2 linked regions of the Ovis aries genome follow. The protein of the gene in region 1 purifies or fractionates together with the protein of each later gene. This does not show direct contact. Links are inferred from orthologs where the notes say so. Each region holds a gene or a part of one and is shown on either strand. Other genes may lie near its edges. The genes, in order: SLBP and CTIF.

What was found.
Region 2: the proteins of SLBP (region 1) and CTIF purify together in Homo sapiens (affinity purification with western blotting; 3 studies listed by BioGRID). This does not show direct contact. The link is inferred for Ovis aries from reciprocal best matches to the Homo sapiens genes SLBP and CTIF.

What each region holds. Positions count from the first base shown.
Region 1 is NC_056059.1:117,534,372-117,538,169, forward strand, and holds part of SLBP (histone RNA hairpin-binding protein), read left to right. Parts: intron 1-1,195; coding exon 1,196-1,255; intron 1,256-1,554; coding exon 1,555-1,692; intron 1,693-2,207; coding exon 2,208-2,357; intron 2,358-3,798. UniProt on the Homo sapiens protein: RNA-binding protein involved in the histone pre-mRNA processing.
Region 2 is NC_056076.1:48,545,466-48,549,864, forward strand, and holds the start of CTIF (CBP80/20-dependent translation initiation factor), read left to right. Parts: upstream 1-1,434; 5' UTR 1,435-1,730; exon of another isoform or gene 1,731-2,791; intron 2,792-4,399. UniProt on the Homo sapiens protein: Specifically required for the pioneer round of mRNA translation mediated by the cap-binding complex (CBC), that takes place during or right after mRNA export via the nuclear pore complex (NPC).

The sequences.
Region 1 (3,798 bases):
CCAGGTGATGGAGCTTTTGATGGTGGTGGTCTGCCTTCCTTCCCACCAGGAGGTGAGGGGTGAGCCGTGAGCTCGCTGTGTATCAAGGCAGTTGGCTCACACTACACACCAGCAGCCTGAAAATTGGAAAATGGGCTTTAGTTACACCTGAGGGTGAAAGTGAAGTCGCTCAGTCGTGTCTGACTCTTTGCAACCCCATGGGCTGTAGCCCACCAGGCTCCTCTGTCTGTGGGATTTTCCAGCAAGAATACTGGAGTGGGTTGCCATTTTCTCAAGAGGATCTTCCCCACCCAGGGATTGAACTCCAGTTTCTGACATTGCAGGCAGACTCTACCCTCTGAGCCCCCAGGGAATCCCTTAGTCATACCTGAAAGGGTTCCAGAAAGAATGAGATCCTGCAGAAAGTGACCTCAGGGACTAGCGTTTCAGTTCTCGTGTGATGGCTCCAGACACACACTGTCCAGACTTCCCTGGGACTTCCCCGCAGACTGGGACCGGGTGAGGCACCTCAGTGTGTGGCCTCTTTTGGACCCTACTGTGAACCTCTAGCTAGAGGCAGTTTCCAGGTCAGATTGTTCTGTGTTTTTTGGTTGGTGATGAGGCACCGCAGTGTGTGGCCTCTTTTGGGCCCTATCGTGAACCTCTACCTAGAGGCAGTTTCCAGGTCAGATTGTTCTGTGTTTTTTTGGTTGGTGACATAACCTTTGCAAAGTTCGGTGTTGGTTGTTGCTGTGCTAGAAAGCAAATTCCCGGTGCATCCATAAGGAAGGAGGTTGGGGGTGGGAAGGTGTGCAGCTTTCCCAAGGTGAGCGGTGCCCAACAGGCATGTGTCTTGTTAATGAGTGATTGTGGTATTAGAAGTAAAGACTTCATTTCAGCTCACATTAGTTTTTCCTGAAGGTTTCAGGGTTAGAGAGATGTAAATTTCCATGGTCTCACCACTTAGCGGGCAGCTTGAGTTTTCTTTCAGAACTGGTTGCTTTAAGTATCCTGTATGGTCTTGGCAAGTAGCCTTATCTTCTCACCAGAGAATGGTGATTGAAGGAGGTTGAAAATAAAAGAAGCCGCCTTACTGTGACTGTTGCTTAACCCACTTACCAGACCACACCCTCAGAGAGGCTTTGTAGCTCTAGAAGCGTTGAGTTGATTTCTGTACCTTTGTAAAAACAGCAACGTTTATTTACTTTGCTCTCAGATATAAAAGGAAACTCCTCATCAATGACTTTGGAAGAGAGAGAAAGTCATCATCAGGAAGGTAAATGCTATGTAATCGTTTCTTTTCTAATTAATAACCCTGTGACTTACTCATGAAAAATAAGGCGGACATGTGAGCGTGAAATGCTGGCTCTCGGTAGTGTTTCCTATTTTTTCTGTTCTTCACTGATTTGAAATACGTATCCTGTACTAAATCTCTGTATATTCAGATTCTAGACTGTTCTGGAGTTAATACAGTTTGGAAATCCAGCGGGCAAGTGCTCTGTTATTGTGTTTACGCATTTTCTTATGTCATGATCTTGTTTGTGAGGTTTGCTGTGTTAATTTCATTTTATTTAGTTCGGATTCGAAGGAGTCTGTGTCTGCGTTGCCGGCCGACTTGGAGACGGATGAAAGTGTCCTGATGCGGAGGCAGAAGCAGATCAACTATGGGAAGAACACCATCGCCTATGACCGCTACATCAAAGAAGTCCCCAGGTAGGCCCGCGCCGCCAGCGTGGGCTGGCCAGGCCACGGGCGTGGGTGCTGAATCTGATTCTGGGTGTAGTTCGCCTGCTAAGAGCTCTCTTATCAGTGATCTTCAGGCACTTACATAAAGAGGAACATGTTGGTGCCTGCGAAACCAAGGACACGAAGACAAGTGACATTTTCATAGTTTAGAGTGTTGGGTGACGTTGTCAGGAGTAGCTGTCTTGTAAATGTGGGACTGTTAACGTACATGATGGCGAAGGTTCAGTTCAGGTTGCAGATTGTAAAGCTTTCGCTAGAGAAGAGCACGAGCCTTAGCCAGTCTGCGTCAGCAGCATGCGTCCTGCCTCCCACACAGGGATGCAGTGGGAGCTTTACGGGGCGCGGGAGCTGCCGGCCTGAATGCAGGTGTCCTTTGCTGGAGCGTGGATTGCAGGGAAGAGCAATCGGCGAGGTAGCGCTGTTTAGCTCCTGTTCACATGTGGGCCTGCCTGTGCACCAGCATCACCCCTCTGTCCCTGTAGGCACCTTCGACAGCCCGGCGTTCATCCCAAAACCCCCAACAAATTCAAGAAGTACAGTCGGCGGTCGTGGGACCAGCAGATCAGACTCTGGAAGGTGGCTCTGCATTTTTGGGATCCCCCAGCTGAAGAAGGATGTGATTTGCAAGAAATGTACGTCTCTTTGGAGTCTTGTCCCCCCTGTCTGCCGTGATGGCAGCGGCTCTTGCTGTGTGGCAGGTCACCCTGTATCCTGTCTGTCTTGTCTCTGCTAGTGTCTGAAGCTGGCGGTGTGGGCTCCAGGAGGGGCTGGAGGGAGGGATGCGCTTCCTGGGTTGGACTTACTGTTTGTAGCTACACCAAACTGACCTTAGTAGAGGTACATGGGGTTTTCTTTGTTTTCTAAGATAAAATGTTTTGGAAAGCTTGAATAGTTAGGTTGAGCTAGGCAGCTCAGGGGTACGGAATCTGCAAGAGACTTGCACATTGGTCCCTGGGTCGGGAAGATCCCCTGGAGAAGGAGGTGGCAGCCCACTCCAGTATTGCCTGGGAAATCCCATGGACAGAGGAGCTTGGCGGGCTATAGTCCATGGGGCCACAAAGAGCTGAACGTGACTCGGGGGCTAAATAGTAGTGAGCAGGCGCACTGTGTAGTCAGTTCACTCCGCTGGGCGGTAGAGACTGGCACAAGCTCGCGAAGCAGCTACACTCAGTGGCGGCTGGGGCTCCCCAGTTGGCTCAGTGGTGAAGAGTGCCTGCCGGTGCAGGAGACACAGGTCCAGTCCCCGGGTCGGGAGGATCCCTGGAGGAGGGAGAACTCCAGTATTCTTGCCTGGAGGCCCCGTGGATGGAGGATCCCAGAGTTCAGTCCACAGGGTTGCAGAGGGTCAGATCCGGCTCAGTGGCTGAACAGCAAACGTGAGAGGCTTTCCCTTTTTTTTTTTTTTTGCCTACGGAAGGTTTTTCTTTCTAACCTCTGTCCAGTGGAGAAGGCCTCGGGTTGAGCTTCTGCCGTGTGGTGTGGATGCCGGCTTGGCGGGGAGACGGAGGCTGGCCTGTGGTTCTCTCCTCAGCTCCCTTGTCTGAACTTCTCCCTCCCTCAGAGACCCAGTTAGTCGTCCAAGTGTCTGAGTTTCTGCTCTGAGCTGGGGACATTTATTAGAAGCTGTCAGGTCTGAGGCGAGGTCTGAGGCACGTCTTTGTGAAGTTGGCCTCGCTTCACAGGCATGCCTGGTTTCTTTCCAGTTGCCATTGTTGCCCCATTCTCTCTGTGAGCAGGAGATTGGAAACATGAGTGGTGGTGTGTAGTTTGGTTTGTCAGCGTGTGTCCCCCCAAACTGGGCTTTACTGTCGCCGCTTCTGCTTAGAGGGATGCTTGTGGGCGCGTACAGACAGCTGGCCACGCACAGGAGTGGGCAGCTTGTTGCGTGCTCTGAGCACGGTGGGCATTGTGCCCATGGTGGGCATTGTGCCCGTGGTGGCCGCTGCCAGCCTTCCTCGGGGAGGATTCGGGGGGGGGGGCATCCTCTCCTCAGGGCGGAGGAGGTGCTGGGAGCGCGCGTGGCGGCGTGGCACTGGCAGGGTCTCACGGAACCGGCCTGGTGTGCTCGTCTGC
Region 2 (4,399 bases), on another chromosome or scaffold:
AGACGTGGCTGCAGATGCTGCTTTGCTTTCCTCTGATGGCTTGGCGCATACCAAGAAGACATGCCCTCTGCTTTCAAAGAAATCCCACTCCTCCTTCAAGGCCCACTGCAAGCCCTACCCCTGGTGAAAAGCCATCCCAGGCTCCTCTGCCCTCTAGACCCATCCTTCATCCCTGACCCCCCCTTTTGGAGTCTCCCTTTTGCACTGCCAAATTGCTAGGACTTTCAGAATTTGCTCTTTTATCTCTGTCTGGAGCCTTTGTACCCTGTAGCCTTGTTCAGAGGCCAACTCTTTCTTTTGCCTTTGTTAACATTTTTTAGTAATTCTTACCTAACACGCTGCCTCCTCCAAGGAAGCCTTCCTTGATCCTCTCCTTCTTGCATCCGTGCTCCATCCTGGCTGGCTGCTCCTCCTGAGGGTTCCACAGCACGTTATGCCTACACCTATGTTAGGTGTGGACTTATCCCCTATACCCTCATTGACTGCAGTCCTTAATGCTAGACTTTGAATTCCTTGAGGGTCTCACCAGTCTTGGCATCCCCAGACCTGTTCTGTCTGTGAAAAGTGCTCACTAAATGTTATATGAATTTATAAACAATTTTTTTCAGCAGCTATACCATGTCCCACAAGTCCTTCCATGAGTTTATAACCCCTTTCCATGAGTTTATAACCCCTTTCCATGAGTTTAAGGGAGTTCATAACTCCTTTGCTTGGAAGGTGTACAGCATCATGTATTTCTCCAGAAGGCTTCTCTGTGCTAAGCCCAGTGCCCAGCACCTAACAGGTACTTGGAAAACACTGGTGATTCGGTAAAGTGATTACTGAATTACCCTCTGCGCTGAATTCTCCTGTCCACCAAGTCCCCTGCCTTAGCCCTTAGCATGGCCAATGGAAAATTAATTGGTTGCAAAGTGCATATCTAATTACAACATCCCGCCCCTGCCACTGAGATGTTCAAATGTTAATTATAACATATGCATCTCAGTAACAGACGGTAGCATTTAATAGAGCATTAGTAACTGCCCTTGGGCCGCCCAGGGAGTACACAACGCTCCCTTTCATCTGCTCTTAGGACAGACTTAGCACTTAAGAGCAAGGAAGTCCTCATCCTTAAAGCCGTCCGGTCCCTAAAATCAAATGTTTCCCTCCTCGCCCAAGTCCCCAGTTGAGGTCCCCACGCGGGGCGGCGCCAGCGCGCGGGGCGTGGGGTGGGGATCGGCCGTCGGGCGTGGGGTTTCGGCGAGGCTCGATCTGCTATCTGGGCGGCTCGGGCGGCCTGCCCCCGCGCCACGGCGGCGCCCCGCTTCTCCAGGGCCCGCCATCCCGGGAAAGAAAGGCGAACTACATTACCCAGCAGGCCTCCCGCCGTCCTCGTTCCTTTCATGTCTTTGCACGTGGCCGGAGGGGAGGGCGGAGCCTGGACGACACCCTCCCACATTCTCTTTCCCTGTGTCAGAGCAGGGATCATTTTTTTTTTTTTCCTTCCTCTGCTCCCTCCCCCCGCCCGCCCCTCTTTCCCTCCTTCCCTTCCCTCCCTCCCTCCCCTCTCGGCTGGGTTTGTGCGCTGGGGCGCCGGAGGCCCCCCCCTTAGCCGCCGGGACGCGCGGAACTCGGGGCGGGGGATCGGCTCTCCCGAGCCTCCTCCCTCCCTTCTCCTTCCCTGCCCCCTTCCCCCCCCCCCCACCCCACCCCCAACTCGGGCTCGGAGCGGCGGCCTGAGGAACCCCGAGGTGAGCATCTCCCCCACCGTCCGCCGCCTCCCCCCCCAACCCCCCCGTCTCCTGTAGTCATCTCTCGTTGCGGGTCGATTCCGGGACCGGTGAGGAAGGGCTCTGTGACGTGTGCGTGCTTACAGATAAATCCGGGAAAACCGCCCCAAACAATTAGCCCCCTACCTCCCTACCTCCTCCTCCCACCCTGCGCCCCGGGCAGCCAGGCGTCCGCGCCCATCCTGCGTCCCCGCCTCTGTCGGGGACGGCACTGTGAGATCGCGCCCCCTCCCCAGGTTTGCCCCTTCTCAGCCGGTTCCCCGCCAGTAGGGGAGCCGTGGCCCTGGAGCTCCGGTGAGGAGGGGGGCTCTGTTGGCGTGGGGTGAGGAGGGGGTGCACGGTTGGAGCCGCGCGGTGTAGCCGCTGTCATGTGCCGGATTCCGACCCGGAGGGAGGAAGCAAGCGAGCGAGCGTGATTCCTCTCCCTTTTGTTGTGAAGCCCGCATTTGCTGCATTGGTTCACGAACCGGCCAAACTTGCAGCTGTTCTGACCGTAGTCGGCGGAGGTAGGGAGCGCGGCTCCGGGTGGCGGCTAAGGGCCGGAGGCTGCCGCGCTCGCGGCTCCCGGAGGGACCCTGGGAGTGTCTTCACGCTGCCCCTCCGTCCTCCTGCGACCGATTGTGTCTGTGGCAGCGGCCGCGTGTGAGTGTGTGTGTGTTTGTGTGTGCGCGCCCGTCCCCGCGGGCGCGGAGATGTCTGTCGTCTAGACAGGCTGCACCCTCCCTCCGTCCCTGGTGAGCCCGCGGACCGCGCGCGGGGGGCGCGGGGCGGGGATGGGAGCAGAGGAGAAAGCCGGATCGCTGGCTCCACTGCGGTCGCAGCTTTGGACCTTCCCCACGGCAGTGATTCTCCTTTCTTTTTTTACGTTCTTATTCCTGCCGCCGCGGTGTAATCGGGCCTGGGGAACAGACCTGTCCGGTGGAGTCAGGGTTAAGTTGACAGGCTTTGAAAAGCCAGCTCGCGGTGGCTGGTGACCCGGGCCGGAGCGGAGTGGGCTCCGGCTCGGGTTCTTTAACGAGCAGGTGACTGTCTCAGACGCGGGTCCTGGTGGGGTGTGTGTGGGGGCGGGGAGGGAGGTGGTGGGCGGCGGGCAGGGGGGCGGTGGCTCGGCTGCAGCGGAGATCTGGTGCCCCGGAGGGCCGCGTGTCGGAGCCAGGGTACCGCTGGGGGAGGCGTCCCGGGGACCGCGCATCTGAGTTGGGTCTCTCCTCTGATGTTAAATGACAGTTGTGGAGGGGAGGTGGTGGAGGTCTGAGCCCCTCTGGGCTGCGTTGGCTGTTTGGCTTCGCGGAGTTTTCAGGGTTGGTGTTGCGGGGGGGGGGCAGGTGTGAACAGAGAGGGAGGTGCGGCGTGTAAAGGGGAGGGGTGGTTGGCGGCACGCTGTGCATCCCCACTCAAGGAGTGAGGCGTCGCCTCCCCCGCCCAGCTGTTTGTGTGTGTACACACCGTTCTGGCGTGCGTGCGCGGGGCGGGGACCGCAGACCGATGCGTAGTGGGGACGCGCTTGGGCCCCGAGCCCCCGCGGGGATCGGTCCCGCCGGGGCTCGTAGTCGTGTGTGTGTCCGCGCCAGCGCCCTGGTTCCTTGGAGAGGGGGGTTCGTGCGGCCGAGGGCTCGGGGAGATCCTGGGGTTGCTTGTGAGCCGGGTCGGTGAGAGAGGGCCTGGCCAGAGACGTGCCGCGGTCCCTCTCCTCGCGTCCCCGACGCCTCCCCCCGACCCGGACCCGGCAGGCTGGCCGTCTACTCGGCGGCGCCGCGGGCTGGTCTGGCTGGGCCTGGAGGAGCGGCGGGGCGCTTGTGCGTTGCGCCCCCGCCCCCTTCGCTTGACCCTTGGCCCGGGGCGCGCTGTGGGTGCGCGCGGCCGCTCCGGCCGCTGCCTTCGCAGATCCTGGAGGGAATCGGCGCCCCTGCGTACCCCCTCCCAATTCTTCGTCCTAGAGACAGTGGAGGCCGAAGGCTGCCCGGCCCGCCGGGTCGCGCTCTCCGCCCCGAGCTGCCTCCGGCGCGGGTGCCGGGTGCCGGGTACCCAGCCGGCCGCAGGCAGGTCTTTGCCCTCCCGGAGCTGGGTCTCTGCGACAGGGGATTATCTCCCAGGCTCAGGGCCCGCGCGCAGAGGGAGGAAGCCACCGGAGCTGCTGGTTTCGCAGCGGCTGGGGGCTTCCGAAGGCGAAAGTGACACAGCACGAGCGCCGCTACCGCCCGAGCTGAAAGCGAGAGGAAGGAGCCGCCCAGAGGGCGGGGAGGGGCCGCAGGCTGTCCGGCCCTGTTCCTCCTGTCCAGCGACGGGTCTGGGCCGAAAACCTCAGGGAACCTGGCTCCGAGCATTCTGGGAACGCGCGAGAAAAATTGCTTGGCTTTCAAGAAAACCCGGTTATACTGGAACAGAACGCACTGAGCAGACGTTAAGATGTCCGGCCCCTCGCGGGATGCACTCAGGTGGCCCCAGGAAGCTCCCTTAACGTGTTTAAGACAGGATTCAATTTACACACAGATCATCTCACCTGCTGTGTCACGTGTCTGTCTTGGATAACGTGCGCTTGAAAGCAGTAATTTTGTAACGCATCCGGGGGTACAATGTCACCAGTGATTAACAGATTGCTGTAATAATAATAATATATGTTTGTATGTCTA